2 linked regions of the Tribolium castaneum genome follow. The protein of the gene in region 1 interacts with the protein of each later gene in a pairwise test. Links are inferred from orthologs where the notes say so. Each region holds a gene or a part of one and is shown in the gene's direction. Other genes may lie near its edges.

Region 1 (16,557 bases):
AACAGTGGAGATTTATTGTTAAAAACATGACAGAAAATGGGCCATTTATGGTAGCTGAACATTTAAGCAATATCGAAGCTTACAAGGTCAACAGCTCATTTGTTGTTGATCTGCCTCTTCAATCGCATTTATTGAATAAACCAAGTGTTAACATCACCGATGTTGTTCACGTTTTAAATACGACATTTAATGCTGATAATATCACTTGGCCGTTATGGAAAGTCAACGCTTCGAGTGAGTGGGATCTTGTCACTTATTTGTTACCCGGGACGCCACTGGTGATGTTGGAATCGGAAAACAACAAGGAGTTGTTGAAGATACGAAATTCACCTTCTATTATGAGAGGTTCCTTCTCCTCGCATTTACTCAACAATAAGACTGTGTTTGCATTTACAAGGTAAATAAAACGTGTTAATTTCAAAACTAACATTAAATTAAAACATTTTTACTTGCTAACGTGGAATAGGGGGAGGTATGTTAACGTAACCATTTTTCCAAACTGTTGTTGTTAACAGTGGTAGTGTATAACTATTTTTTTTAGGGTAACTGCTGGTAACCCTGGAATATTGGTCGCCTTAAACCCCTCGGACAATCGCACGGTGGTCGACTTCCCTGCCCATATCAAAGGTCTGTCAGAAGATGTGACTGTTCAGCTGTTTAGCGCTAATTACAGCGAACCAAATGTAGCAGTCAGTGTAAAACATGACGCACATTCTGTGCCTATTTCGCCAAAATCAGCAATTGTAATGTCATATGTACCGCCATCTAAATAAACCTGCAATTATTTGAATATAAAGGCATTCCATTGTCTTGCTTTTATACTTTGTGTTGAACAGTAAATATATTTCAAAACGCAGCATTATGTAGTGGTTTCAATTCTCCAGTATTACAAAAATTTACAGTAAAAGTCAATTTATTTTGAACAACGGTTACGTAATACATGTATGAATGAATTCGATAATTAAAAATAATACACACACACTTAATATCCTATCGTGTAGTTGCTAAAGAGCAGACTTTATTCAAATTATCCCTCAAAGTCTCCAACTGTCGTTTGGTTTCAAGATCAAGTTCTGGGATTTGAGAGACGCGTAAACCTCTCTGGGGCTGAATCGAGAAAAGACGGCCATCCTCAAGGGGAATGTTGATGTTGGCCACATTGTCAGTCACTACATTTCCTGTAAGCAGAGGACTTCCTTGGAGCGATAGGGCGACTTCTCCTTGCTTGGGTCGGCGCAAAAGTACTTGCGGTGTGTTGGGTTTTACCTATCGCAACAACGTTAATTTTTCCACAATAAAAACCGTATTTTTACCTTTGGTGTTACTGTGCCATAGCTGTTGGCAGGAACTCTCTGTGCTGGGGTTTTATACACCTCTGTTACGTTTTTAGTGCGAAGTGATTGAGATCTTGAGATGCGAGTCGTTTTTGGTACTCTATTTTTTGTTCTTGACTGCCTACCACCTGAAGTACTTTTACTACTTTCAGCTGTAAGGTACCCTAGCAAGCCCCAACCCCAATTAGATGAATGTCATGATACCGGTTTTAGTCACATATTAAAAATTATAAGAAACATTTAAATTCATGAGTGTTAGTAATGACAAGAAAAATAAAATTAATTTATTGAGTAAAGGATGGAAAGTCAAGCATTTAAGCTTTTGTGCAGTGTAGCTTACCTTCATCATCACCAAAAGAATTACTTTTGGTAAGTTTACTTTTCGTCACTGTCATTGTTCGTGTTGCATCCATTAACTGAGTAACAGAACCACCGACGGTGCTATCCCCAGACCAGCCAGGAGGCCGTTCCATCTACATTTTTTTCATAATGAATTATTATTACAATAAAATATTTTCTACATTACCAACTCCCCCATAGTCTTATTAGCAAGATTTCTGGGAATAGAAAGCTTCGTTTTCTTCAAATCGGCCTTAAACTGCATCTTGAAATTCTCTATCTGTTGTTTAAATGTGGAAGGGATGCTCTTTACTGAAATTTTAAACTACAGCAACGAGTACAGACACCGGCAAAGACTACTAACGCATTTTCCCCATCGGACCTGTTTTTGACACCAATTCCTTAATTCGTCCGGCTTCTTCATTCCGCTCCTTTTTAACAACTTTCGTTCGAGGCATCTGTAAGTTAATTAAAAAATATAGGTGATTGTAAATATGAGATAGCATTTTTTGCAGACGCTTGACCAGTTCTTGTTTGCTTGTTACAAACCTTTGCGTTATAATAAAAAGCACTCGCTTACGTTAGATAGACTTTATGTGAGTTAACTAATTAGGTTGTGATATTTATAACACAATATTATTAACTAAAACTGAGTTTCAAGCACAACAGGCACAAGTCTACACTAACGAACTAACTGACATTTAAAAATCTTGAAGTTGTCGCCAACCTAACGCAATGTCCCTGGAAATAATTTAAATGTAACTTTTTTCATATGTACGTGTAGGTATTTACATGCCACAGTTACGCTTCTATTTTTTGGGTCAGTTACGATGTATTTTTAAATAAATTATAATTAGTTATTAGAGAAACAGTGTACAGCGTGCTTGAGACAGCTATGTTGGCTGCGCTGTTTACAGTAGTGACTCAAGATGGCTGTCATGCATTTAACTTTTGAATAAATTCAAAATTCTTAATTTCCTGGCGACTATCTACGTTCTTATTAGCATTCCGACCTTTTGCAATGGGAGTCCCGGCATTTTTCCGTTGGCTGAGCCGCAAATACCCTTCAGTGATCGTCCACTGCATCGAACAAAAAGTAAGGTTAAGTCCATCACTCACAAATTTCGAGCCAATTTTCAGGCAGTTGATGTAAATGGGGTCCGGGTTCCAACCAATTCCGCCGAGCCCAACCCCAACGGGGTGGAGTTTGACAATTTGTACCTGGACATGAACGGAATTATCCACCCGTGCACGCATCCAGAGGACCGACCAGCGCCGCGCAATGAAGACGAGATGATGGTCGCGATTTTCGAATGCATCGATCGCATTTTCAACATCGTCCGTCCCAGGAAACTCCTGTACATGGCGATTGACGGAGTTGCCCCACGCGCGAAAATGAACCAGCAGAGATCAAGGCGTTTCCGCGCCGCTAAAGAAACCGTGGAGAAAATTAACGAAATCAAGCGAATTCGGGCCGAGCTGTTGCTGCGAGGGGCGAAGTTGCCGGACGAGAAACCGAAGGAGGAGCACTTTGATTCCAACTGCATCACGCCGGGGACCCCGTTCATGGCGCGGCTTTCTAACTGCCTGCATTATTACATCCACGAGAGGCTGAATAATGACCCAGGGTGGCAGGGGATTAAAGTTATCCTCTCGGATGCGAACGTGCCGGGTGAAGGCGAACACAAAATCATGGATTTTATTAGGCGCCAGAGGGCGCAACCTGACCACGATCCAAACACTCAACACTGCCTTTGTGGTGCCGACGCTGACTTAATCATGTTGGGTTTGGCCACGCATGAGCCCAATTTTACTATAATTAGGGAAGAGTTCAAGCCTAACAAGCCCAGACCTTGTGATATTTGTGGTCAGTTGGGTCACGAAATGAAAGATTGTATAGGTGGCGCTGCTAGTGCTGAGAGCGACACGCAGAAAGTGTTTGCAGAAACGGATTATATTTTTGTTCGTTTGAACGTTTTAAAGGAGTATTTAGAACGCGAATTGCAAATGCCGAATTTACCCTTCAAATACGAGTTTGAGCGGGTTTTAGACGATTGGGTTTTTATGTGCTTTTTTGTTGGTAACGATTTTTTACCACATTTGCCAAGCTTGGAAATTCGGGAAGGGGCAATTGACCGACTAATCAGACTATATAAAGATTGCGTCTATAAAACTGGGGTAAATTTAACGAGTTTTATGTTTGGTTTTTAATTATTGACATTGCAGGGCTGGTTGACAAACAGCGGTGATGTCAACTTGGAGCGCGTTCAGTTGATTATGAGCGAATTGGGCAAAGCTGAGGATGAAATATTTAAAACACGACAACAGAAAGAATTACAGTTTAAGGCGAGAGAAAAGGCGAAAAGACGGAGGAGCGAAGGCTACAACCAGTATAAACCCAACTGGGACTTGGTCAAGAACACGCAGTTTGCTCCTACCGCAAGTTTGCTTTTTTATCGACATAACAAATTTTAATTCGTGTTTTAGGCTTTAGGCCAGGCAAAGCCGGTAGTAAACGCCCGTCATGAGGCTTTTGAAATACGAAAGGCCGGAATGCACACTCAAAAAGCGGGGTTAGAGTCGATGTTAACACCCGTGGATAGTCAGTCAAGTAACCGGGGCCAGAAGCGCCACCATGAGGACGACGATGAAAGTGATGACGACCAGGCTCATGATGAAGTGAGATTATGGGAAGATGGGTTCAAGGATCGTTACTATGAATCAAAATTCGACGTGAATTCTGATAATCTAGATTTTCGGTACTTCAGAAGCGATTGCGTCTTGATAAATTAATTTTTGAATAATTTGTAGAAATAACGTAGCGCTGCATTACGTGAGGGGTTTGTGTTGGGTTTTGCGGTACTATTACCAAGGGTGTGCCTCGTGGAAGTGGTACTATCCCTACCATTATGCCCCATTTGCTTCAGATTTTGTTCACATCGCAGGCTTGAGTACTGAATTTGAGGAAGACTCTGATCCTGTAATAACTTCGTTTTTTCCACAAAACAGTTCAATAATAGTGTAATTTCAGTTCCGACCTCTAGAACAATTAATGGGTGTTTTCCCGGCTGCTAGTAGTAAACATGTTCCTCAACCATGGGCAAAGTTAATGTCAGACCCTGTAGGTACTCTACTTTTTTTAATTAAAACCCATTTATGATTTTGTGTTAGGAATCACCAATTATTGATTTTTATCCCGAAGATTTTAAAATTGACTTAAACGGGAAGAAATTTGCCTGGCAAGGAGTTGCGTTATTGCCTTTTGTTAATGAGGATAGGTTATTTAAGGCCTTAGCTCCATATTATAAAGAGTTATCACCTGAAGAAATTCGGAGAAATGTGCGAGGAGATGATCGGTTGTATGTTGGGGCCAAAAACGCCGGTTATAACCAAATAAAGCAACTGTATGTACAAAAAATCAGTGTGAAAATGGAAGTGCACGTTTCCATTGAGGGAATGCAGGGGACTGTGTTGTTGTCCGATGAATGCGTCGATTATGGAGGGTAAGTAAGATAATTTAAAACAGATATTTGTTTTAAAAATATTAGAAAAGGTGAAAATAAACTAACTAGAAGTAAGTATTAGGCGAAAGGAGATACAAAATATTTTATATTAGACACTTTAAAATTGATGTGAATTTAAATAACTCACTAATAAAAAAATAAATATAAAAATGAGTATAGTGGTAATGCCATCACCCAATTGTTAATTGCTTGGAAAAAAGACAGGAATATTGATTATCAAATTTTTAATAAGCTGAGAAGACGAACACTACTACTTGTTTTGGTTTTTGAACCATGTTTTGAAAAATAGGGAGGTGGTGTGAAAAAATTTATAAGTTTGAATTTTTTTTTATTTTTAATAATTTTTTCCTTATCTTTATTTTTTACAATTACAATTTTATTCTATCTGTTTATCTTGTGTTTAAATACAACTATTTTTTTGACAATGACTCTTTTCGGCAACGGTGCCAAAAAAATAAAGGGATGGCTGCCGACGTTTGTTGTCCGCGCATTTTGCTTCAGGTTCCTTGTTCCTTGTTCTGTCAACAGCATAACTTTACAATGCAAAGATGATAAATAAAATTTGCAACTACTTTTTCAGATAATATTACTTTTTTATATTTTCATACATTGTTTGAGAAATTTTATTAAAGTTTTTTGATGATACTGATAACCCACAAGCTGTTAGAGGTGTTTAACTTGTTTTAAATAAAAGATTCAAACAAAATTGAGGAGGAAACACATGATTCAGAAAAATAACACTAGCACTCCAGATAATGCTGATCAAAAAAAAGGCTTTTTGAAACAAATGTTACATGAATATCCTGAATTAAACGAATAATGATCTAATTTTTTCATCCAATACCGTCATGCTACTTGATACTTTTTTTTTTAAACATAAAGGACTCAATTTTCTGCTCGAACATTTAAAGTACAATGCCTGTACGTAATCGCAAGGTAGCTTTAAAAAATAATAAAAAGAAGGAGAAATAATTTAACATAAGAACAACATAAGAATGGTTAGGTGTAATACATATTTAAACTAGCAATAAGAATTTTAAGATAAGAAACTACAGGTTTGATCTAGAAAAATGTGGAATTAACAGCAGATTTTAAAAATTCTTTGTCAGCAGTGGAGGCACTGCCATTCCATTTTTTTTTTTTTAATTTAGGAGACGTTCTATTCCTGCGTCGTGTCATTCTAGTATTTAGGTATCTCTATAATAAACAAAGTTTCTAATTTTCTAATTTTTTAGTTATTTGGATTCTCCGATTCGCGGTTTGGACGACATCATGAACAACATGGTGTCTTGTGTGAAATACCGCGATCCAAAATACGCTTCCGGCTTCGTATTTCCAGCCAAGAAACTAAAAGGCGCGATCGATCCGCCTCGAGTTTTAAAACCAACAGATTTAGATCCTGTAGCAAGCAGAAACTGGCGACCTATCATTGGAATGGTGCCATCAACAACACGGTAAACTTCATTTAAATTTCGTGCGTAAAAAATTTAACGTCGATGATTTAGAGCCACTTTAGGCGAGGCCGGCCACAGGATGGTGGGTCATCATTTTCCCAAGTCGGGTCCAGGTCCGTACTCGCACGTTCCTCCGCCGTCTAATATGGACAGAAGAAATAACTATCACCAAAATCGCGGCAGTAATTACGGTAAGTACAGATTTGATTGTTTTAAATAAGGGTCACTGGATCGGATTTTGACGATTGATATTGCGAGAAACCCTCACGGCGCTCTGTTGTTGACGGCGGAACAATGGTGGTGAGGGTGGACGGGAGAAGGGTCAATTGTTTGTTTTAATAGGTGATTGGAGGCACGCGTCGTGTCTAGCACGTGACCCCTTCGCATGTTCATTATTATACGATTGCAATTAAATCGGTTTTAAGTCAGTGCACACTGCACTAGCGACGGTTATTGCCCAAATCAGCTAGGTACCGGCGTTTGTTTATGCGTCTAACCAATAAAAGTAAAGGTGGGGGAACGGTGGCGTAATTGGAATGTTTACCGGGGTTGTAGGTGTAACTACTTTGCTTGTTTACAAACAAACTTGCGAATTCATCAACTTTTATTAGTTTGTAAGGTGTAATACGTTCTTTAACTGTTCATGTTAGTGTATCAAATTTCCAAACTTTTCTTACCAAACAGTTAACGGTCTTCGAAAATGAAAATTTTTAAATGTTTTATTACAAATTTTATTACAAATTATTAGATCAATAGTAAAGTATGCATTTGATCTCAGATTGTAATTAAAATACATTTTGTGGATTAGGCCATTCCAGATCTGAATGCTTCATTTAATTATAAATAAATACATTTAAAATTCAATTAATCATTATCAGTATAATTTGTATGGTTCAATAATTTGACGAATTAAAATGTTTTGTTTTTTGATATACTCGCATTATTAATTTGATAATTGTAATTGAAATAATTTTCTAAATACCAAAATAGTAAATTATGAAAGTAAACAGGACTTTTTATGGTGAGAATACAGCCTGTCGTAATAAAGCTCGAAAAGTTTCAAAATGCAATCCTAATGCCAACACAAAGTATATAAGTATTTTTACGAGTATCATAATAAATTGTTAGAAATTAAGTCATAAAGACTCACAAGTCATAATATGGTTATTTAGGTATTCGCGAAGTTCACCTTTGTATTGTTCTCAAGAGTTTTAGCCTAAAAACCTTATTTAAATGTTGATGATAACGAAGATACAATAACTTTTTCTGAAATTTTGGAAACCAATCTATTCATATTAAAAAAATCAAAGGTCCATTGGCGTTAATTTATAAAAACTGTTACAATTGTCATCTAATTAGTTGGAAAAGATTAGTTGACCCATATAACCCGGAAGTTTTTTTGTTGAAATTCTGTTCTAATATAAGTTTAATGGTTTAATGATTCCATTTTTTATTTATGAGATACATGGCTTTTTTTAAAGGACTCAGAGGCACATTACAAAAAATATTATAATATTTTATTCCAAATTCGTAACTTTCTGATCTTTGTACAAGTGTATTTATACGAGAAATTAGAATAAAATTATAAATTGTTATTTAAAACTTAGCTCATACATTTTTTTCACCTACAAAATTTCACTCGCGTTCTAATGGTGCCTAATGTTTATGAAACTATAAAAAGTTTAGATTAGCATTGAACAGAATTCAACATCAACACTTCCAATGTATAATTAGGTGTCCTCACCTATCTAAAAGGAACAACAAACGATTTAAACAGAAATGTTGAAACAGGCGTAAAACGTTAACGTAAAAGGACCACATTTTCAAATATGCTAAAAACATTTTATTAAGACGATTTAAACTTCAACATACTACAGTGTCATAAGATGGTATAAAGATGGTATAATACCATCTTATCTGACATGGTAGAAATTTTGTGGTCAAGAGGATATTAATTAAGAAGAGTTTTTTATAGAATAAAAAACAATTTGATAATATGTAATAATATTTACATGTATTTCAATACGGTTTTTGTTTTTTTAATTTACTAAATATGTATAAAATTATTTTTGTTAGATTTTGTTCTGGAACATTATCAAAAAACTTTCCAGCTTTTAATTTTTCGTCGTTCTGTACCTAAGCTTTTTTATTAGTTTGGAGATTTAGAAACGCGTCGAAATAATGCATTTTTGATGAATGCCGGTCCCATATCACTATTGAACATTATGCGTTGTGTGTGTCTGTGATGTTATCGCGTTCCGTATCTTAATCGGTCCGCTCGGTCGTAATTCGTGGTTCTGCGGGGCCGTCGCATCGTTCGTCCTGAAAACAAGCAATTTGTCGAGCATTGTGCCCTTGTTTGTGGGTGTGACGCAACAATGACACCGTTCTGCCGGCGGCAGAGCGCGTAATTGAAGCTTTTGTGCGGCCGTCAGCACCACTGACACGCCTAATTTGACAATCACCACAACGCCACCGCCCCTAATGCGAAAATAGTTTCGCTTGGCGTCTAGTTTTCCACCGACGGAGATTTTCCAAATTGAACTATTGTCCGGCCGACTGCGAGCAAGATTATTCCGGACGCCGCCGGAGCGGAAAATTCGCGAATTTCCAACACACGTCGGGCTCGAGGAAGGCAATCAACGTGTGCGGTCGAGGGGGTGATTCGATCAAAGGGAAGACACGGTCAAGTAAATTCCGGACTTGATGAAATTTTCGCGGCGGAAGAGTTTATTAGTGCATGAGGATCAATTGCAGGGCACAGTCAAGGAGGGTACTCGAGTTACAACCAGGGGCACAACTCGAGGGGGTACCAGAGTGGGTATGACACAGGGTACAATCAAAGGTACAACCGGAACAACTACCAAAATCGGAACTACAACTCCGACAGGAACGATCCCAGCAGAAGGCCTCCGGGTCCTTACAGGGACGGATATCAGACCTCCAGCTCGAACCCTAACGCAAATAGATACAGCTACAGGAGGTAGAAATTTTCATTTCTACATACTTCTAATTTTATCCGACTTTGTAACTTTTTTAATCACTTAAAAAAATAACTATCCCTTCACTATTTATTTGAGTTAAAATGTATAGTGTAGGTTCATTGAGAGAACAGTATTCTCTTGTTTTGTATGATTATGGTTTTGTACCTTTCTAGCAAAGGCTTAAGGAAAAGAATTGTTGTAGTTTAAAAAGTATGGAATAAACAATATGATTTTAGTATGGTTGTGTTTTATTACGCTATAAAAATTGCATGGTTGCAGAAGAATAGTGGCACTTCCGCTACCGTTGGATCTGATGAAAGAGAAATAAAGGGGTAGGGAGGGGGTTTCGATTTAAGGACTCTTGTCTCAGAAACAAGAGTTCCATGCTAAGAGTGCTCACTCATTGTACGCTTATGGTAATGCGCTTTGTGCGCCACTAAATATTGCAGTTGTAAGCACGTTTTTGACTTTTCGCCTTAGTGCATTTGTGCAAAAATAGGCGCTGTGCTGGGTTTAGTCTTTTGACGAAAAAGGGGGAAATTTCTTTGTTTTTAACCTGGTTTTACATTGCCTTCTAGTAGACACGAAAATTTACCAAAAGCCAAGACTAAAATTACATACTTGATGATTGAATAAAGTAATCTAAATGTAACTTTTTTGTAACACCTTTACAAGAATCTTTATTAATTGACATTTGCCGTTAACGCGATTTGAAACGGTCGATGGCTTTGTCCTTTAACCGAGAATCTGCGGATACCAAAGCCGTGCGCGTTATGGAGGGCCGTCCAGACCCAGGTGACAGCCATTAGCAACATACAATATAGGAATAAATAGTGCATTAGGGCCTTTATGGCGATAAGTACGCGTTATTTTTTAGATTGTCTAGTGTTCGGGTGCAGACAATGGCAAGCGTGGAGTGCAAGAAGGGCCGTTGGTAGTGCTGGCACAATGCCCACTTGAGTTGCATGTAGCTGTAGGTAGCTAAGGAGAGCGGCCACTTGAACTTCTGATGCAGGGTTGTGTTCGGTGGGGCAGCGTGTGGAAAAAATAAATTTTATCGCAACGAATACGGAATATCGCAAATTCGATTTCTGGATCGCGGACGGGATGAGCACGAATAAAGGACGTCACGCGGTTTCCTTTGGGGTGGCATTAAAGATCTCCTGCGGTGGTCCGCGCTCCCACACGACGCAGCGAGCTGCGAACAACGCATTCCTATGCATATGTGGACTTTTTCGATTATTTGGACGCATTCAGATGTGATGTGACTTTGCGCCGGGGGCGATCGAGCGAAATGGCGCTTTCTCAGGCACGGGGGGCCAACGATTTCTCAATTTGATAAGTTTTTTTCCAAATTAGCCAAATTATTTGTTTTACGTCAACTACCACAGTTTATTTCTATTTGTAACCGACATTTTAATATTTTTGCGACAGCTGTATCAAGTTCAAGTAATTAAATTATTGTTAATGTGTTTATTAGAAAGTAATGGAGAATAAAATATCGGTATTAATATTAACGTCTGATAGATCTACAGATAGATAGATAATTTCTTTTTAATGCAAGTATCAAAACTTTGGTAAATCGCAGAGGACATATCAGTGCGCAAAATTTGGGAAATCAATCGAAATCTCGATGTAGTCAGAAGAAATCATTGAAAAATGTGGATATGCAAGTGAGACTAATCTTTTTAAATCCAAATCCTTATAATACGATTGTTTTTTTTTTATTTATCTTTGGAGATTCATTTCATTTGGAAACGCTAACCACTCTAAGTTTTAAAATTCGTGCACTATTAAATATCTATTAGACACAACACGCATAAGACATCGAAGTTGTTTTGAAAATAACGAGGAAATCATAATCAGCAAAAAGGTTATTTGTATTTTATTTAATAATTTACAAAGCATCTGTTTGCGATAAAATGAATAAAATTAAACAGCACAATAGGTTTGGATAAATCATTAACAAAAAATATAATGTTTTGGTGATTGTAATTACTGCTACAAATACGTGAACAAAGATATTTATATAATTAACTGTTTTACGGTATTGCTTTAAATTTGTTGTGGTATTTACAGACTGGCATTTTTGATGTCCATGTAGGGGAAATCACATTTTCGAGCTCTTTTAAATATATTTCTGTGTGTTTCTGATTTATTCATAAAATTTGTAATCTATGTAGGTTTGTAGCTATGTTCAATGATTTAAAATATTCGATAATATTTAATAAATTAATAACTTTTTTACTAAAATAGTATTGTAATAAATAAAAAACGAACATGCGCTGCAGTACTCATAAAAAGTAAAAGACACCAATTAACACAATACAAACTGAAATGCGGAATTTAAATTTTAAGTACCTAAGTACTTAATAATATAATATATATATATATATATATATATATATATATATATATATATATATATATATATATATATATATATATATTCAGTTTGTATTGTGTTAATTGGTATATATATATAGTATTTTCTGTTCGTTTATTGTGTTTTGTGATTTGCATTTCGTTAGGTTTTTGATTCTGCGTTTATTAGTTCTTGTTTTGTGAATCTGTATTTTTTGTAACAACTCATAATTTAAACACTTCGTAACCTCAAAAAATATTTGATAGTTTGTCACCGCTATGCCCCTGCTATGTAAACGTAGTGACAGAAATGTCAGATGACGCACACGCAAACGGAGCTGAGCGCTACCATATATATATATATATATATATATATATATATATATATATATATATATATATATATATATATATATATATATATATATATATATATATATATATATATATATATATATATATATATATATATATATATATAATCTATTCTATGACTACTTACCTATCAACCTGGAAAATTTTCTAATTATGTGAGTGATGGTACATCAGGAATATTACCGAGTTGAAGAAAAAAAGATTTATGTATTTTCATTTGGATCTGACGAAATAAGGGAAACAATCCTATTATACTAAGGCGAAGGACAGTGTCATAACTTAAATAATTTTATTAGGAATTATTTTATAGGAATATTTGATCTCTTTGATAAAATAAAATAAAATGTTTAATGATCTCAATAACTCAGAAGTTTTTATTTAGTATTTTAGTTTCAGATTATTCATATTAAAAAAAATAATTTTTTGAGAAATAATGGACATAACTTGATGAATATTTTTTTCAACTTTGAAATTTCCCTATATGTGGTTTATTTATGAACTTAAAAAAATTATATTGTTTTCATATTTTCTTATAAGGCATTGGCACTTTTGGCAAGTTTCTTAAGGTCGGTTTACATAGGGTTCATTAATTTAATCCGCAATTAAATGCAATTTAATCATGTGACCAAATTATGTATTAAATTTTAATAGAGCTTTTTGTGAACCTGTTTTTAATCTTTTTTTCTTGACAAATAGAAACATTTTGTTGCCAAAACTAAAAAATAGCATTTTGCTTTATGTGGTACTTCTACAGGGTGCTCAAAAATTGGCGAACCAATTAGTGGTACGTTGTTGAGATGCAAGTGCAGATTACGAGAAAAATCTTGAAAAAATTTCTAAATTTATATTTTAAAAAATTTGGACTTACAAACATATTTTGTTAACTTCTTTAGTTTTCATTATTTTTTAATGTTCTCATGTTTTACGCTAACTAATCGTTCTCTAACAAAACGATGAATAATTATTTTTAAATTATTACTATCAGATCTTAGCGTTTTTAGAATTAAAAAAAAATTAAAACTTATCAAAAGAATCGCAATGTGTAGATGTGCCAACGCTGGGAATTATTTTTTAGGAAACCGTTTCAAAAATAATTTATTTTGATTGTTGATCAATTTCTATTGCGGTCACGACTGTTAGACGTTTTATTTAAAATTCGTTATTTATCACTAACTTTAATACAACGGATTTTTTTATTGTTTTTTTTTATGTAAGCAACTTTCTACCATACACAAATGTATGGTAAGTGAGTTGGTTCGGCAGTTTTTGAGCACCCGGTATAGAAATAAAATAAAGTCGAGAGTAAATTATTATATTTGCTTTTTTTTCTGTTGGATTCAAAAGTTTTTTTTAAAATGAGAGGCGCTCGTTTTTACTTTGTATTTTCTCATTTTAACAATTTAACATTATGAACATTTGGTACTACGTATTAGCGTTACAATGTCTAAAAATTTAATTTTGAATTGATTATGAAGCTTCTAAACTCGAATTTATTAGGTATGCATTAAAATTTGGTAAATACGCCATGCTGTGATATTGGTTTACATATTATGTGATAAAACACTTTGGGGTGAATTTTTCAATGTCTCCTAAAGTTCACACAAGAAAAATTTACCTCAAAATTTTGAATTTTAGCAAGTCAGCTTTATTGTTCAACAAATCGCTTTCTAATTTTAATTTATAATGAAAAACAAAGATATTTAAATAATTCTCACGTTTTCATTGTTAAAGTATTTTTTTCTCGCCACAATAATCTTGTTCGAGACATTTATTGCATTAGGAAATTACGAGCAGGATATTAGTATTAGGAAACGTCGCGAAATTTAATTGTCTTTATTGTTTTAGTAATTTTCAGTCCGTAACGACGATTTTAATCGTGATCCCATCTATTAGTGCCGTAGAGCAGTCCTGTCGTAATTCTTCGCTTCATAACCGTTTCATTCTCATCTGGCATTTATCCGGTGACGGGCCGTCAGCTAGACAATAAAGCGATCGTCTTCATAACTGGAGGCGCCTTCGTGTCCAATTCGAATCGCTAATTGCCGGAGAAGGCCCCATTCACCGGCATCCTGCCTCGTCATCCTGTAGGTGTAAGCGTCCTAAGACAAAACGTCGATTGTGGAGGGTCCGAAAGTATCGAGCTGGTGGCGACACTGTGTCGGATGTGTATTGATAGCACCATAAAATGCTGTCCAGCCTCCTGATTGTGACAGTCGAGATTTATCCGACTTTATGTGTGGCGGCGAAACCGCCCACAAAAACGGCCCCTAAAAATACTAATTGTAATTAAAGCCGAAGAAGCTCACATGACAAATGGATGGAATGTAATAATGCACTGTAGCCGATCGAGGGTGGCGGCGCTGCCGGAGCGTCGGGACGCCACTTGACCTAAGCCTCTGATGGTTACTTGGCAACAATTAATCACATCGTATCGTTAGCGTCGGCTTACATGGATCGGGATTTTATTATGTCGAGGCATCGCGAATTATTGACAACGCCAAGGGGCGGAGGCGCAAGGGGGCGCTAAAACAATCTCTGAGATTTCGCAGGTTCAGCATAATCGCTGCTCGCTACCCCAGATAATCCTCTCAATATTAGACTTACCTGTTTATACGCTCAATTTGCTAATACCGAGGATACTGACTCACCCTCGGAAGGGATTTTTGAGCCTGGACCAATACTTATCGCAGCAAATTTCACGAGTTTTTCATATTGATTTTTTGCTGATGTGAACACCAGCATTTATTTACAATTAGTGTGAAATTTTATTAAGAAAAACATTGTTGTCCCTAAATGCAGGGGTGTATTTAGGTCCATTGCCGCTCCGGGCTACTTATAATTTTGGCAGCTCTTGCCTGTGACAACATTAAAAAACATTTATAATGAATAATAAATTGCATAAACCAGTGGGAAAATGGGGATTATTACGTTGTAATATACACATTGAAATCTGATTAAAACAAATTAGTTAATGTGTGTCTGCTTTTAAATTAATTCTTTTTATCTGTGGTAAAGTAGGTATTGTCTACATTTTAAAATTATTTGCTTTGTAAAGTGATATTTTTACTGGCACTGGAAGATACAAAACTGTACAACTTTTTACGATAAAATAAAAAGCTTTATAGAAAACACATATGATATAATTTTTGAGGCTTCTGCAGATTTACTCTAAAATTCAGTAATTATTTTAACTTTTTTCAGTCAGTTTATTTGAATGAAATAGCAAATCCAGTTCAATTCCAGTTGGTACGTTTTTAAAAAATAATAAGTTGAAAAACATAAAGAATTTTTTTCAAATGTACATGCACAAAAATTTTTTTACAGGTATTTTCTGCGATAAAAAATTATTCTGTACTTAAATTATTTACCTATATAAGAAGCTTTTGTTTTTCAAATAACGTAGCCACTTTTGCACTTTATTCTACAATATTCCGTTGTCGCTGATAAAGATACTTTCCTGTATTGTGTGTAAAGTTCTCCAGGCTTTTGCTGCCATTACTCTGTACTTTCTGAATTTTTTGTAGGTAATATGAATTAAAACTATACTTACTGAAAACTTCTTCTTAAATTACTTTAACCAGACAATTAAAGAACTTAAGAAGTATCTAATAAGATACGACAAAAACTATAAATCTGATCAGTTGATTAAAAAAAATGCTCAAAAACCGATGCACGAATTAAAAAAATTCTACGTATTAAACTTATTAATAAATAACGAATTTTACATAAAAGATATGTGTGGCAACGTTGTCTGACAGTTGTGATCGCAATAGCATTTGATCAACAATAAAAATATATTATTTTTTAAACAGTCTTTTAGGAAATAATTGTCAGTGTTGGCTACAAATTGTGATTTTTTGATGAATTTTATTTTTTTTAATTAAAAAAATTGCTAAAGTTTGATAGTTAATTTACTAATAACACTATAGTTTACAACATTTTTTACCAATAGATGAAACCACAGAATAACTAACTCTTTAGGGCCGGTTTACAGAAAGTGAAATTAAGGTTTAATTTGGAATTAAACTAATTCGAATTAAGTTGCCATTTAAAATGCATTGAAAAATGTCAAGTTAATCGCGAATTAAATTTTAATTGCGATTAAAACGTTCTATAAACCGGCCCTAAGTCTGATACTGAAGTCGAAAAAACTTAAGACGTCAAGTTTTTTAATTATTATTCA
Region 2 (16,244 bases), on another chromosome or scaffold:
GACCGATTTCTACAACCAGGCCGTGCCAACCGATATTTGGTGGCACTTTTCCATTTCTTTGACGTTCATGTGGGCGTTTTTACTCAGTCTCTACACTGATGTGAGACGAAAGGATTTTTTTATAATGTTGGTACACCACATTTCCGTCATTGTTTTCACCTGTTTGTGCTGGAATGCCAACTTTTTTCGCATGTTTAGTCTCGGATTGGTCTTGCACGACTGCTGCGATATTTTCCTAGAGGTGCATACTGTATTTTTTCTACCAACAGTGCGACCATTTGTTTTAGGGCGCCAAAATCGCAAGGTATTTGAAATATGAAAGGGTTTTCCACGCGCTTTTTGGTATTTTTACCATGGTTTGGGTGGTCACAAGATTGGGGCTTTTCCCCTTTTGGATAATAAAAAAGTATGGGTGTAGACGCGCGAATTCATTTGTTATTAAATTGTTTCAGTGTTGTTGTGGACGTCCCAGAAATTATGCCCAACTTTACTTCTTTCGCCATGTATTACATATTTGTAGCTTTTTTATTTCTTTTCCTCACACTTGACTTTATTTGGACGTACTATATATTCAAAATGGCGGCGTCTTTGCTCACTCGAGGGCACTTAAAGGGAGATGCAAGATCAGACGATGAAAAATAACTTTATAATAATTACGAAAAAATAAATAAATTGTAATAACAAAAATCAAACGTGTTTTTTTTAATAATACGTAGGCAACCAGGTATACACCTCGCTAATAAACAAACTTAAATTTGGCGCCCGTTTGTGTCATCTGTCACCCGTCATTCAAAACCGCTAATTCGCCGATTTCGTCCCGAAATCGCCCCATAACCCGTCATTAAATCGAAATGGGTGCATTATTGACTCACCGCCCCCGTTAGCCGCCCCCCGGGCCGCGTTTTGGGTCGCATCCAGTGTGCGAGAAACCGGAAATACGTCAAAAAACAAATACGCATCTGCATCGGCTGCCATTTTATTTTAGTGACAAGTGCGTGCAAGCGTATTTACAAATACGCTTAAATTGTGTGTCTGTGTGAGGGTGCGTGAGTGAGAATGTCGGTGGAGTACCTCCAAGTGGCCGAGGACGAGGGCGAGGAGCCCATCGAGTTGCCCACCGAAGATGACGGAACTCTGCTTCTGAGCACTCTGGCGGCACAGTTCCCGGGCTCCTCGGGGCTCAAGTACAGGAATCCCGAGACGAAAGCGATGAGAGGCGTGCGATTGAGCGAGGGGCGGCTGCATCCGCCACCAGAGATCGGCTGGGGCACGCAGATTTTCTACTGTGTTTTTCCCAAAGGTGCGGGGATTGGGGCTATCTGTGGGAATACTCCCAGGAAGTTGTCTTTTGCCTAAATTGTATCAATTGAAAATCGATTTTTATTAATTGGCTTTGATTAATAATGTATAGTTTGTTTCATTTGTCAAAGAATTTCAAGGTCAGTAATGTCAGAATTTGAGCTCACTTTCCAGTGGCGTAGCATGTCATTAACGCCTAGTTTCTTAAACATATTCAGTGGCGGCTCCCAGTCTAGGACGCAGACAATTAAACAAATATGTACGTAGGACATCTACTGTACTTCATCAAGTGGACTTTACTGGAACACACATAATTTCTATACCTATAGCCAACGAAATATTTCGTAAAGTAACCAAAAATAGTCTGTAAAGTACTACTTTTTTGGCGAATATGTCATTAAAATCGTATGTATACGTAAAGAGACAGAAAATAATTAATAAAAACTGCTTGTGTGCAATGTTGGTTGCATATCACTTCAAATTTATTTAATTTAAAAATAAATCTGGAAAAACTTATTATGTAGTCTTACACCCCAGCACTACAGTATTTGTTTTTACGTTTAAACGGTTATTCTCAGCCATCAACTCAGGGAATAAACCCTATACTTTTCCCTATAAAATAATTCAACTTTTACAATTTCTTACGAAACAGGTGATATAAGACAGTTTTAAAGCTTTCCTTTTCTGTGACACATCGTTTGCAATTTTCTGCACATTTTTATGTTATTAAAATCTGCGACGATCTGCACTTTAACATAGATTATTTTTATAATTTCACATTTTTTTACTTTAATAAACCGTTCACAAAATTTCTAGTTTATTCACAGCTTTTATGTGAAATAATTTTTCCATGGCCAACTACTTTCAAATATTTAAATATATTTTTACCGAAAATATATAAAAATATCAAACTATATTTATATTGTTTTGAGTTCAGAAAAAAATAAGCATTTCGAAAATGTCACAGCCAACTATTATTCTCGTTTAAAAAAATACAAGTTTATGTTATTACAGCTAAACGAATGATTAAAAAAAATCGTTGATAACATTATTAAATTCTTTGTAAAAAAGTGCCTGTATAATGTCTTTGTTTCAAATGTGTTTCTCTTATAATAAGGAAGATATGATTTTTTTAATATTTTACTAAAATGCCAACTTTTGTTTATAAGTCGAAAACAAAAGACGATAGCGAAATGCGGTTTTGACCAAAATTATTCTCTCAAAAAACGGACCCGAGAATGTGTCACTCGTTTTTCTCTAAACCTCTCAGTTTTGGAGATCGCTTTTTCGGACAACCAAAATGTAGCACCCTGTATAGTGCATTTAACTGCGACAGTATCTATTTTGCTAAATGACAAAAAATATTTGCTCCTTTTCTCTGAAATTAAATTTTTAAAATCTTTCCAGTGACGTAGTTAAATTCGTAAAAGTCGATAAAAATTTGATGTGTGGAGCTATTGCCAAGCGTAAAGTTTGTGTTATCTGTTTCAGAAAACAAACGGAAATCGGACGACAATTTAGAAAATTCAACTGCGAAAACGAAACGTATGGAAACAAAACTAAGATGTACAGACTTGATAGTGTTAGGATTACCTTGGAAAACAACAGAACAGAATTTACGCGAATATTTCGAAACGTTCGGTGAAGTTTTAATGGCTCAAGTAATGAGTGGTGAATTTCAGCACGAATTGCATAAAATGCGAATTTTTCTAGGTGAAGAAAGACCCCAAAACCGGCCAATCAAAAGGCTTCGGTTTCATTCGCTTCGCCTCGTACGAATCCCAGATGCGTGTCTTGGCCCAAAGGCATATGATTGACGGTCGATGGTGTGATGTCAAAGTACCCAATTCAAAAGTACATCATTACTTGGCTCGGCTTCGCCTCGCAATAACTGCTCATTTTTCCAGGAAGGTCTGATCCAACAAGTGCCCTGCAAAGTGTTCATCGGCCGTTGCACTGAAGAATTAACCGCCGACGATCTTCGCGAATATTTCGGCAAATATGGCGAAGTCACCGATGTTTTCATCCCGAAACCGTTTCGCGCATTCAGTTTTGTTACATTTCTGGACCCCGAAGTGGCCCAAAGTCTCTGTGGCGAGGATCATATAATCAAGGGTGTGTCAGTTCATGTTTCAAACGCCGCCCCCAAATCCGAAACACGAGGCGGTGGTTATGGGGGCGGCGGACCACGAGGTGCCAATCATGGGAATAACAGGAGCGGACCGGGACCTGATGGGCCTGGGATGTACCAACAAAGGTACAATCCAGGTCCGAATCAGGGCAATTGGAGCAATCAGGGGCCGAGGGGAAATATCGATATGCCCAATTTACAAGCTTTAGGTAAGTTTTTGGGTAATTGGCTGCGATTTTCAAGTCAAGTTGGCAACTTAAGGGTAGTCTGACCCTAGGACCTAGGACTAATAATTACGTCGATTGGGTCATAAAAAGTCAAAAATCATTCTGCGAAAATATAACAAAACACAGTTCCTATTTTAAAAATTCATCCGCAATTTAAATTAATTGAAAATAGTGATTCTAAGATCCGGTTTATAGAAAGCTCTATTAAAATTTAACACGTTGTTAAAACAACGCGAATAGACCAATCACAATGCTTTAATTTGTTTATCTGATCATTTAATGGCGGATTAAATTAATGACGCTTCTATAAACCGGTTTAAGGGTCGGTTTAAATGTTATCAAGGCGAATGGACTAATTAAATTTGTTCAATTTGGTCACGTGATACATTAATCACGCATTTAATAGCAGATTAATTTAATGACGCTTCTATAAACCGACTCTATTGTTTTCAAGAAAATTTTATAAGCTGCTCCATGTGGGCAAATGTCATACCAATTAATTTTAATACTTGTAATTCAATTAAACGTTTAATAAAATACCTTTAAATTAAAAAAATATTGACAATCATACATAATCTACTGCAGTTTTTTCAGTCTTTAAAAGTGACGTAAACATAGTATATTTTTTTTAATTGTTGTTTTTAAATGCAAACACCTTTAAACCCAAGAGTCAGAACGAAGCATTATTATAATAATTTTGTTTAATAAAAACCACCTTTAAAAAAATTGCTTTAAAATTTATGAAAAACACTTAGAATGACATGCCAGATTTAATTTATAATTTCTTATGTTACTTTACGTTTAATATTAATTTGTATATTTGCAGAAAAAAAAAACGATTAATAGACTTATCTCATTGCACTGAATCAATTTTCACAAATTTTCGGAGTTAATGGGCTACTGTAGTTTTTTCAGTCATTAAAAGTGTATATAACATTGTATATTTTTTTTAATTGTGATTTTTAAATGCACACACCTTTAAACCCAAGAGTCAGAACGAAGCATTATTATAATAATTTTGTTTAATAAAAATTACATTTTCAAAAAAATTGTCTTAAAATTTATGAAAAACACTTAGAATGACATGCCAGATTTAATTTATACTTTCTTATATTACTTTACGTTTAATATTAATTTGTAGATTTGCAGAAAAAAAAACGATTAATAGACTTATCTCATTGCACTGAATCAATTTTCACAAATTTTCGGAGTTAATGGGCTACTGTAGTTTTTTCAGTCATTAAAAGTGTATATAACATTGTATATTTTTTTTAATTGTGATTTTTAAATGCAAACACCTTTAAACCCAAGAGTCAGAACGAAGCATTATTATAATAATTTTGTTTAATAAAAATCACATTTTCAAAAAAATTGTCTTAAAATTTATGAAAAACACTTAGAATGACATGCCAGATTTAATTTATACTTTCTTATATTACTTTACGTTTAATATTAATTTGTAGATTTGCAGAAAAAAAAACGATTAATTGACTTATCTCATTGCACTGAATCAATTTTCACAAATTTTCGGTGTTAACAATATTGTTTAATAACATTTAAATAAAGGAATTTATTGCAAATCTAATTATTACATTTGAAAAAGAGGATTTTATAGGAAACGTTTCTTTATTGCTTTCAAAATGACTAAAATTGGACTTATTGCGATGTACAGGGCGCTCAAAAACTGGCGCACCAACTCAGTGGGACGTTGTTGAGAAGCAAGTGTAGATTACGGGAAAAATCTTGAAAAAATTCCTAGAGTCGTATTTTAAAAAATCTGTAGCTATAAACTTATTTTGTTAACTTCTCCAGTATTTATTATTCTTTAATGTTTTTATGTTTCACACCAAGTAATCGTTCCCTAATAAAACAATGAATAATTATTTTTAAATTTACTATCAGACTTTAGCAGTTTTTTAAATTAAAAAAAAATAAAATTCATCAAAAAAATCACAATTAGTAGATGTGCCAACACTGGAAATTATTTCCTAGGAAACCAGTTCAAAATAATTTACTTCTATTGTTGATCAAATTCTGTTGAGATCACGACTGTTAGACAACGTTGCCACATTTCATTTATTGAAAATTCGTTATTTATCAATAATTTTAATACAAAGAATTTTTTTACTATTTTTACCTTTATATATAAGCAATTCTCTACCACACACCATTGAGTTGGTGCGCCGATTTTTGAGCACCCGGTAGAATTGAATTGACAATTTGACAATAATATATCATTATTATTTTTTCCTAATCCACTTAGATGATATTAGAGATATTAAAGATTTTTGAGTTGATACATTGAAATTTGAAAATTTTTTGGACATGTTTTTTCCAGAATATTCCAAATCTTATTTTATCTTTTTGTTTTTGACTTATTTTGTTTTGTTTTCGTGGCAATTGTTTTTTATATATGTTTCAATTTCTATGAAAATATTTAGTATGACACCTAAACCCAGAAAATAAACAAAAAAACTTTTTATTTTATCAACTTTTTTGATTTTTTTTATACTTACCAAAAAGATAAAAATGTGTACTATCTAAAAACTTATAAAAATGTCATTTTAAAACATTATCGCAGAAATTCATGTACATGTAATTTGATAATGTTATGTTCAGTAAATTCAATATTTTTAATTTATATTTAACTTCGATAACTAAATAAATATTTTTTTGTAAACATTGAAAATAGTTAAAGGCCCTACAGTAGTAGTGCAGTGATTTCTGCCCATTAAAAAAAAAATATTGTCTAAAACTGAATTCAAAACCAATTTTTTTATAACATCGTGCCATTTTTTCGCCCTAGAGGGGTCAAAAAATGTTATTTTAAGCCAAAATGTGTCCAAGTCAGATTTTTGCCTGGGTCAGATTATCCTGGGATTATTTAAGTTTGTGTCACTCGTTACGCTCGTTTAGTTAAGTTTTTGACCCCGGCCTCCTTTGTGAACTCCTCTCCCAAACTCCCGACTAACAAGATCTAGTCGTTCCCGCACGGTGAGTTTTATTTATTTCCTTTCTCCATACAGGGTGCTTCAAGTTTTATTACCCACCAAAAAATCTATATTTTTCAACCGGCTTTAAAACTTGGAATGCCCTATATATATTGTACAATTCCGAAATGTTTCACGTGTCCGAATGGTTGTAGGTTATGGTTTGATGTGAAGAAAAAATGTTGCTGTTTAGTTCTAGTTGTTGTGAATGTAATTAATAGTAAAAATGAGTAAAAAAAACTTGGAAATCGATGAATGTGTTGCGATGTGTTCCCCGTTATAGGTATAACCGGTCAAGGTCAGCAAGGTAGTAACCAACAAAGCTGTAATCCATTGGGTTTGGGTTTGAATTTGAGCGCTTTACCCATGAATCCCGCTCTGGTCGCTGCCGCATTGAATCAAGCAGGCTGGGGGCTTATCGGTAATTTACAGAATCAGCCCGAACCGAATTTCAATCAGGGCTTCAACAACGGCCCCAACAATAACAGCGGTAAGGGTCATAAGAGTGCGTGAGCAGATTGCGAGGCGAAGCCGAGCTCGTTTCTTTAAAAAATATATACAGGTCCCCAAAAAATATAGATACAGGTACAAATTATAAAAACTATACATCAAAACTTATTGAAATTTGGTACGTGCTTAAGAGTAAATAAATTCTATCGTTTCAGATGTTTATCAAATTTCTATCTCCATTTGTTCTCAGGATACAAGGCTAACTTGATTTTTTTTAATGGCAATAAGGGGCATACTTAATATTTTTATTTTAGTTCTATGGCGAAACACATGTGTACCTTAATTTAATCGAAAAAAAAAAAAAAGACTAATATTTTTTTTTACCTTCTAATAAAAATAAAGCTATATGTTATATCATTTAATTCGGAAAAAAATGTTCTTTTGAATATTATTAAATTTGTTGCTTCATGTCTTTAAAAAAATCAAGTTAGTCTTGTATTTTGAAAATAATTGACGATGGAAAATTGAAAAAGATCGCATATGATAGAATTTAAACACTTATAACTGTGTCCCAAATTTCAAGGTGCTTTGTTAAACCGTTCTGAAAATATTTAGCTATATTCATGCTTTTTGGGGAGCCTGTATATCGCAATCTGGTCAATCTGTCTAGTCCCGTGCCCCTGTCACCCAGTGGTGTTTTAGGCAACACGCCGAACGGCAGCAACCAGGGGGGTAGCAGCAATCCTGGTTTTCTCAGTTGGATAAATCAGGGCGGCGGTCAAAACCAAGATGGCGGCCAATGGCCTCGACCGCCCCCCCAACAGGCGCAGGAGAACAAGGGATTTCTCAAGTACGACTAAATCAAATAATTTTAAATCCAACCAATCACAATCACTCCTCATCCCTTACCTTCCTTCATTCTTATTTTTCTATTACGTTTCTCTCTGCTTACTTAGTGTGTGTCTCTCAAATAATATAATTCAGCACATCATGTTGAGAAAAGTTTTCGGAAATGTTGTGTGTGAATGACGTCAGGTGAAGAAGAAAATTCGAGGACTAGTCAATTTTATACACAAAATATACTCATTTGTTTTATTATGCCGGAAGTGTGTGAGGTGGTTCTTTTGTTTTGTATATTAGCTGGTTGAAGTCGTTTCCGGAAGCTTTGCTCCTACTGTAGATTAGTCTAGGGAAAAAGAAAATGTATTGAATTTCTGTTGGTGGTTTGCCGGAGTTGGCAGTTTTGATTATTCCCCCACGTGCATCACGACGATCGCATCGTAAGAGTTTTAAAAGATAGTGACTGTACATTTACTTGTGTTTGACTGGGTTTTTAAGGATAATTATGTAAAAGAGGTGATAATATTATATGAGTGCAGATGATCTGTGTTTTGTTTTTATTTAATTTGAAGACGATACTCCTTGACTGTCGTAGAGACGGCGCCACTTGCACTTGGGTCAGGTCAGGTCAGGTCAAGTGTGCGCCGTCGTAGTGTTCCTTTCTCCCTGTGTCTTGACAGATTGCATGAAGAGACTTAAACAAAAGTGTGGTGAATGAGTGTAGTAAATGGGGACGAATGGTGGGACATGTGAAGACGTCTGACTGAGTAAGTTTGATTCAAATTTTTGGACAAAATACACTGATGATGGACGACTTTAACACTTGCGAGGCGGAGGCGAGTCATGTCATTAATTGGGGTTTTGTTTAGGGACCTGGGATTGGTATTGAAGCCGTGGAGCGCCGCACACAAGACTGAACTCGCGCGTTGGAAACTCAAGATTTTACTAAGATTGTTGAATAAATTATTGCAAACGAAAAGTGCTTTATTTCCACCTTACTCACTCAACAAGTACACACAAAACTCTCGATACTTGTTGAAAATCACCGAGATGATGTCGACTTTGACGAAGATCAACCAGGCCAAGGCTAAGTACCACACAACACTGAATATTTTAGACACGATCCACATCCTCCTCGAGTGTCTCTTGGCCTGTTCCAAGCTGTCATCATCCTCTTTCAACAGATACCTCCTGCCTCCTATTGTGGCCTTGACGAAGTAATCGTAGGGCTCCACATCGTCCTCACCGTACTGAAAACTCCCGAAATCCTCCTCAAGCAAGTCCTTCTGCAGCTCCACCGACTTGTCGTTGAGGAACTCCCACTGATTCCGCGAGAAGTACTGAAGGGCCATGTTCGCCACGTAGATCCGTCTCTGGATTTTGACCAACCTGGCAACAGAACATTATCGACCAAACAAAACCCCCCACACTTACATGGGTTTCTTGCCCATGACTTTGAGCAGCCCGTCGATGATGAGCGCCGGGAGCAGATGGTAGAAGTACACTTTGAGCAAGTAGGCGTAGTAGCACTTGTTCACCGACCCGGAGGGGTACCATAGCACGTCGTTGAAGGGCACGTCCTCGCAGATGCCCTTGCCCATCTCGACCATGTCGCCCATGGTGATGGGCTGCACGTCGTTGTTGCTGCCGTTGTAGAAGACGGGGTTTAGGCGCTCGGGAGACCTGCGATGGTAAGTTAGTTTTTAGGTTTTGGAGGGTTTGGATCACTGTACTTGGTCTTGACGGCCTGTTTCCACGCTGCTATGATCATTGCTTTGGCGAGGATGTCCACTGGGACGTAGTCGGCGATTACGTCGGGGTCGCTGTAAACGGTGTGCACGATGCCTTTGCCGGAGGCCACCAGCAGGCCCACCGGGCCGTTGAAATTGTCAATCCAGCCCGGGAATGGCTCGTGTGCGGTGGAAATGACTGAAAGTGGTGGAAGATTTTTTATTGTTGCGTTATTACACCGCTTAAAAAAATGAGGAAGACTTTATTAAAGTACGGTATCACAACTTCTCACACGAATAAAAATTTAAAATTGTCAATTGTAATAACTCGTATTAAGTTTTTGTCGAAAAGTTACATCTTAGTGACATATCTGGTTTGTGTTTTTTATTTGTTTATAAGTAGAAGCGGAATTAAGTCATACATAACTTGTTTTTATGTAATTCTCGACTGTCATGATTTTTTCTGAAGCCTAGAGTTAACAGTTTTAAGTTATTTTGATAAATATATGATAGATTATAATTCAAAAAGGGCTGAGGAATGAATATTAAAACAGGAAGTATTCTAGCATAGAATACAGTAGTTACAGAAAATCAAGTAACGCGTATTCATTGGTCGTCAAAATTTCGATTGTGGCGCCATATCTTGGTAGTATGTTGAAGTAAAATTGGCAGCAAATGATTTATTACACGATTTTCTTCCCAATTTTTCAAAATGTTATTATTTATTTTCAACATAATAGTACTCAAATAAAAAATATTAATTCGATTGCTTTAAAAATAACAAAAATATAGGCTTTTTTGTCTGCCGGTTTGATACTGTAATAAATCACTAATAATTAATAATAATCCATTTTAATAATCACACAAAAATCAGCGTTTGCGATTTTTTTTTGCTTTATTTCTTTCTGTGTGCCTTCGAATTTTTTTCAGATTTTTTCTACAATTTCTTATAAATAATGAATATTAATTAATGAGAAATATTTATATTAATAAAATATTATTTTATTAAAAAAAAAATAAAAATATTAACTAATGGAAGTTTTTATGATTCCTAGAAGAAGCGATGCTTGCAAAATGTTTTTTACAAAAATATGTAAAAAAATTAAATAAATTGAGTAATAAATAAATTAATAAATGAGTATTAAAACAGGAAGAAAAAAGCCAAAAGCGTGCATGTATTTATTTTTGGGCTGTTATCAAACTGAAATATGCATTTTTTGAAACTGTTCTGTAATCCGTAAAAGAAATCGTACTCATAATGTTTTTAACACCAAATTTTGCTTGTGGTGTATGTTTTTTGGTTCCGTTTCTAGACAATTTTTCTAGTCAGGAACCAAATTGAAATAGCTGTTTGTGCAATGAAATTGAAAAAATCGGTTTTCCTGGCTGGTTTCAGTGATTAATTTATATTTATTTAAGTGAGAAAAAGTTTTGCTAGGAAATGGTGCACTTTTCGACTCTCAAATAAATATTGAAAATGGTTTCTCACTAAATTTTACAAAGAATATTTTTATCTTTTGTGTTTTTTTTATTGTAATTGCAATTTTTTTCGAGAATTTCATTAAATTTGACTCTAATCTATTTTAATAATTCATTTTTCAAACTATTATTTTATTTTATGCAACAAAAACTTGCCAGTTATACAGGTTGAACTGTGCGAGCATTTTTACTATATCTCAAAAATTGATAGCCGACTAAAATCTTTTAGGTCATAAATTAAAAAAAAAAGTTAGTTTACAAACTGCTAGCTAGTTTACAAAATATCCAGCCAGTTTATAAACTAGCCAAACGTCCACATTAACCGCATTATATCGAAAAGATTTGTGGCTGTGGTTTAAAGGTGTCATTCTTTTTGATCGTGACTGTATATTATTGTCCATTTTTATGTTCTCTGCATCTCAATTTTTTCAAAATTTTTCCATCCTTCAAATTAATATTAATAATTATTAATATAATTAGTTATAAAAAATATTAGTGTCTTTAAAATTAAAAATATTCTTAATAAAATTTTTGCTAGTGTATTTGAATTTTTTATTTCTACTTAATTATTATTTTTTGACATTTTTTTACGGATTATTGCACAAATCAACATTTAAACATTACTTAATTTAAAATGACAACGCAAAAAATAATAATCATTTGTAGTTACTTAAAATATGAATTTAAAAATATTCTAGAAAAATACACATAATTAGAGAAAAAAAAATTAATAGCAGACGCTAAATTCTTTGTGATTATTAATTTTTGAGGTATAGTAAAAATAGCTAATGTAATTTATACTTTCAATGAGAGATCAATCAAAACTATCAATTTTATTTGAAAAAATAATTCGGTAAAATGCGACGTTGGCTTTTTTATAGTTTTGAAACAGATAATAGATACAAAAAATACATATTTCATTATTTAATTTTTGGAATTTGTAATCGAATTCGCATCGGAATATGTATTGTATGTGCATTTTATAGACGCAGGCCTCGTAAAATTACGTGATTATGTGAAACACCCTGTATACTTTTAGCCGACTCACTTTGTAAATCGCTTTAGTCTTGGCTGTAACAATTTTTTTTTGAGAATCTAAGACTAAACAAAGCTTGATTATTAAATTGTTTAACGAAAAGATTGTGAAACAAATGTTAATACATGAAAAAATATCAAGGGTGCACCTTTTTTTAAGTTTCTTTCGTTTTTTTAATTTATAACGTTATAAGACTTATGTGTTTTTTATAAATTATGATAACATTTGGTTGCACCTTAGACAATTTTTGTCATCAAAGGCACCAAACAGAAAAAAGTAAATTTTGGTTACCATTTTCATTTGTTGTTTTGTTCCAAGGCAACTAAAACTTTAGTATTTTTTCCTGTTACACCCTGTATATTTGGTTTTATTAAGAGATGGCACGAAAAAGCTATAAACGACTGTTCTAATATTGAAAAAACAACAACAATGACATTTTTTCCATTTCCTAGATTTGATCAAATTCAAATTATTCACATTTGAAAAATTTGAATTACGACTTAATTTTCGAAACAATGATTTTCGATTAATCACATTGCCACATTGCAAACAATTGAAGCGTTGCACAATTAAAATGAGGACGTTAACCCATTATTTAATTTTGTGTTTAACCCTACGATATTTTCTTGTGAAAACAATTAAATTGCTTAAACTTTTTTGAGTCCACAATTCACAGTGAAATAAAAAATTATTAAAACATTTGGTCAGCAGACAAAAGCAATTTTGCTTTCATTAATAAAAGAAGCGTAAAGCAATTATAAATTACGCAAGAAAATGATTTTCAATTATTTCGTAAAATCGTTACGTACAGTAGACACAGAAAAGAATGTATCCCAACTCACCAATCGAAGGTCGAAAAATCACCGCCGGTATTTTCCCCTTGCACAGGTCATAGACCACATGTTCGGCCAACGATTTCGTAAAAGTGTAAGTGTTGGGCAAAGGATGTATGTATTTTTCTGTCAAGATATTCAAAGCGTGTCTGTCAACACTTTCCGCAATTTCAATTGTTTTCCGCCAATCAGCGTGGGCTGGGTACAGCTGTTCGCCAATCACTTTGCGATCTGTGTTGCAATAAGTCGTCGAGATGTGGACGAAAGTGAGTAGATTTTTCATGGCCAACGCAAGATTGACGACTTCACGGGTGCCCCTCGTATTTAACAAAACAGCATCGCTGAGAGCGTCATCAAAACGCACAGAGGCCGCTCCGTGGAAGATAATATTGATGTTGTGGACGAATAATTGGCGATCGGCGGGAGTGAGGCCGAGGCCCAGCCGAGTAACGTCACCATTGATGATTTTGATTTTGTCCAAAATTTTCGGGTTTTTCGATTTGATTTGGTCAAAAAGCTGTTAGAATTAGTTGCTTAATTTTTTTGTTACTTTAGTGACTTACCGGCAGGTCTGTTATGAGTTTGATTCTTTCCTCCAAATTTTTCCCTTTTTTCTCCCGCATGAGTAAGTAAATGTTGGCCAAATCGGGGCATGATCGTAGCAACTTTTCCACTAGGACTTTCCCGATAAAGCCGCTTCCGCCCGTTATGAAAATATTTTTTCCGCGGAAAAATTCGGTGATTGTTGGAAGTTCGGCCATTTCGAGTGCGTCTTTTGAACTGATTTAGCTGTATCGAAGTCGGCGTTGACCCGGACCTCGATTAGCATACAATAAGGGACTAATTTTCGAGTGAGTTCGATGGTAGAAAAAATATGACTAAAGCAGACTTCGACAAACAACTCATTAAGAGCGGATATGGTAATCTTCATTATGTACACATGAGTTGGCAGAAAACTAGAGCGGTCTTTGCTTGAAACAATTGATTAAAGAAAGTTATTGCACCGTCAAAATGCCATTAGAGAGAGGTTTTGTAATTTGGGCTAACTGCGGAACCAAATTTTTTGGCTTGTCATTGTGACAATTCATAAAAATTTATCTTTATCACAAAAATGGCGAAAGGAAAAGCCAAAAACAAAAAATTAGAAACAACCGCAGCCACTTCTGAGCCAGGTTTAGAACAAGTTGCAGTTGAGAAAAGTGAAGATCAAATAATTGAAGAAAAACAACCAGTAAATGAAGAACAAGCCGAACCACCTGACGAACCGCAGCAGAAAGAAGAACAACCTGAAACTGTCCCAGATTTTGAAGAACTTGAAGCTGATGCTTCGAAACCTGATATAAAGAGAGCTTCGTCTAGGAAAGTGTCAAAAGGGAAGAAAGGCACTTCTGAGATAAGTGTAGGGAAAAAGAAAGGCAAAAAAGAGAAGAAAAGCACTTCAGAAACAAGTGTTGGGAAAAAAGGCAAGAAGAAAAAAGGGAAGAAAGGCAAAGACGATGTTCAAACCGTTGAACAACAACAACCGGCTGAAGAAACTGAAGAGGTTGATAAATTACCGTTAGTTATTAAAGCAGTTTCCATCACTGAAGCATCAGCCTTGAGAGAAAGTAAAGTCAGAATAGACAAGTCCGCTTCTGCTGTCTCCACCGATGAAGAAGAATCAAAGAAAGAGAAGAAGGCGAAGAAAGGTCGCTCAACTTCCACGATCAGTGTTGGCGACGAAAAAAAAAAGAAGAAAGGTCGTTCAACTTCTTCGATTGGTGTCGGAGATGGAAAAAAGAAGAAGAAGAAGAAAGGTAAAAAGAGTACGTCCACGTCTCAAATGAGTGTCACGGGGAAGAAAAAGAAGAAATTGAAGAAGAGTGAAGAATCGCGAGAAAATATCAAACCAACTGTTTCCATTTCGGCGGCCGCCATTGCCCACAAAAAGAAGAAAGCGAAGGGTAAAAAAATGAAGAGAACTGCTTCAGTTCCATCGGCTACAATGTTAACACAAGAGGGAGGCAAGCATTTGCCCACTGCTTCCGAAGTTAGTTTGAGGAAGAAAGATAAGAAATCTTCTGCAAGTTTGAGGAAGGTCAAAAGTTCGGGATCACAATTAATTGGAAAGTCTTTGTCAGCAATTTTGTCACGGAGTAAATCGTCGGAACGCCGAACCTCCGTAAAAAACACACAATTTTCTGCCTAACAAAGTACTAATTTTGGGTTTAGTCCCAGTGGACTCTTGTAGATGATGAGTCAGAGGAAGATTCGGATTATTCGTATGAGGACATAATTGAAGAATCAGTACTCGCAAAATCGTCGAGTCGCTTCAAACCAAAAGTGAAGAAAGGCAAAGGGAAGAAGAAAGGTAAAAAAGTCCAAATGGAAGTGGGTGAAGAGGAAGAACCGAAAGAGAAAAAAAAGAAGAAAGGCAAAAAGGGCAAAAAGAAGAAAGTCGAGCCTGAGGAAGAAGAAGTGGCCATTGAGCCCCAAGACGACGTTTTGGCCGAAATCGCTCGATTGAAGTATTTAGCCGAACTGGAAGCAAGTGGTGAAGAAAGCGAAGCTGCAACCACCGAAACCGAAGCCAAGCCAAAAAAGAAGAAAAAGAAGAAGAAGGTGTCCGGGCACCAACCCTGACTTACTACTAGTGACACTTTGTTTCAGGGCCCTAAGAAGAAACTCTCGAAGAAGGAAAAGGCCCGTCTTGCGGCAGAAGCAGCCGAGAAAGCAAAAATATCAGCAGAGGAGGAAGCAGCACGAGCGGCTGAACTCGAACGAATACGGTTGGAAGAAGAACGCAAAGCTGCCATCGAGAAGGAGAAACGGGAAACTTTTGAACAACAAATCAGAATGGAGCAGTTAGAAGTCGCTCTACAATATATCAACGACGTTGTGCGTTATAACAAGAAATTGAGGCACGATGCGAAGGTACAAGAAGATTGGGAGTTTTATGTCAACTGTGGACGCCTCCCGAACCCGGCCAAGTGTGACCAAATGAACACTTTTCTGCACTTGTGGGAAAATGTCATCGAACAAACGACAATGGAGGAGGCGGCGAAACGCACCGTGGACATGTTAGAAGTGAGTGAGGCGATTTGTTTCTCTAGCATAAATAAAAATTAAAAAAAAATATATATCAATCGTAATAACTTGTATTACGTTTTTGTCAAAAAGTTACATCTTATATATCTGGTTTGAGTTTTTTATTTGTTTATGAGTAGAAGCGGAATTAAGTCATACATAA

The links.
Region 2: the proteins of Rat1 (region 1) and TAR DNA-binding protein 43 interact in binary tests that used the Homo sapiens proteins (3 or more experiments, as listed by UniProt). The link is inferred for Tribolium castaneum from reciprocal best matches to the Homo sapiens genes XRN2 and TARDBP.

Annotation. Positions count from the first base shown.
Region 1 is NC_087396.1:15,731,039-15,747,595, reverse strand, and holds Rat1 (5'-3' exoribonuclease 2 homolog), read left to right. Parts: upstream 1-2,565; 5' UTR 2,566-2,694; coding exon 2,695-2,769; intron 2,770-2,813; coding exon 2,814-3,851; intron 3,852-3,899; coding exon 3,900-4,112; intron 4,113-4,160; coding exon 4,161-4,432; intron 4,433-4,484; coding exon 4,485-4,653; intron 4,654-4,704; coding exon 4,705-4,794; intron 4,795-4,844; coding exon 4,845-5,176; intron 5,177-6,432; coding exon 6,433-6,651; intron 6,652-6,702; coding exon 6,703-6,842; intron 6,843-9,408; coding exon 9,409-9,638; 3' UTR 9,639-9,873; downstream 9,874-16,557. Other genes in the region: CD98hc (amino acid transporter heavy chain SLC3A1), read left to right, coding at 1-397, 542-773; borr (borealin), read right to left, coding at 991-1,266, 1,314-1,498, 1,675-1,807, 1,861-1,985, 2,038-2,131. UniProt on the Homo sapiens protein: Possesses 5'->3' exoribonuclease activity. May promote the termination of transcription by RNA polymerase II.
Region 2 is NC_087401.1:11,341,587-11,357,830, forward strand, and holds TAR DNA-binding protein 43, read left to right. Parts: upstream 1-793; 5' UTR 794-1,056; coding exon 1,057-1,300; intron 1,301-2,790; coding exon 2,791-2,960; intron 2,961-3,012; coding exon 3,013-3,153; intron 3,154-3,206; coding exon 3,207-3,639; intron 3,640-6,930; coding exon 6,931-7,137; intron 7,138-7,799; coding exon 7,800-7,947; intron 7,948-8,806; coding exon 8,807-9,158; 3' UTR 9,159-9,367; coding exon of another isoform or gene 9,368-9,620; 3' UTR 9,621-9,670; coding exon of another isoform or gene 9,671-9,866; 3' UTR 9,867-9,867; downstream 9,868-16,244. Other genes in the region: putative fatty acyl-CoA reductase CG5065, read right to left, coding at 9,368-9,620, 9,671-9,866, 13,025-13,532, 13,579-13,776; dynein axonemal intermediate chain 7, read left to right, coding at 14,127-15,176, 15,227-15,616, 15,665-16,081. UniProt on the Homo sapiens protein: RNA-binding protein that is involved in various steps of RNA biogenesis and processing.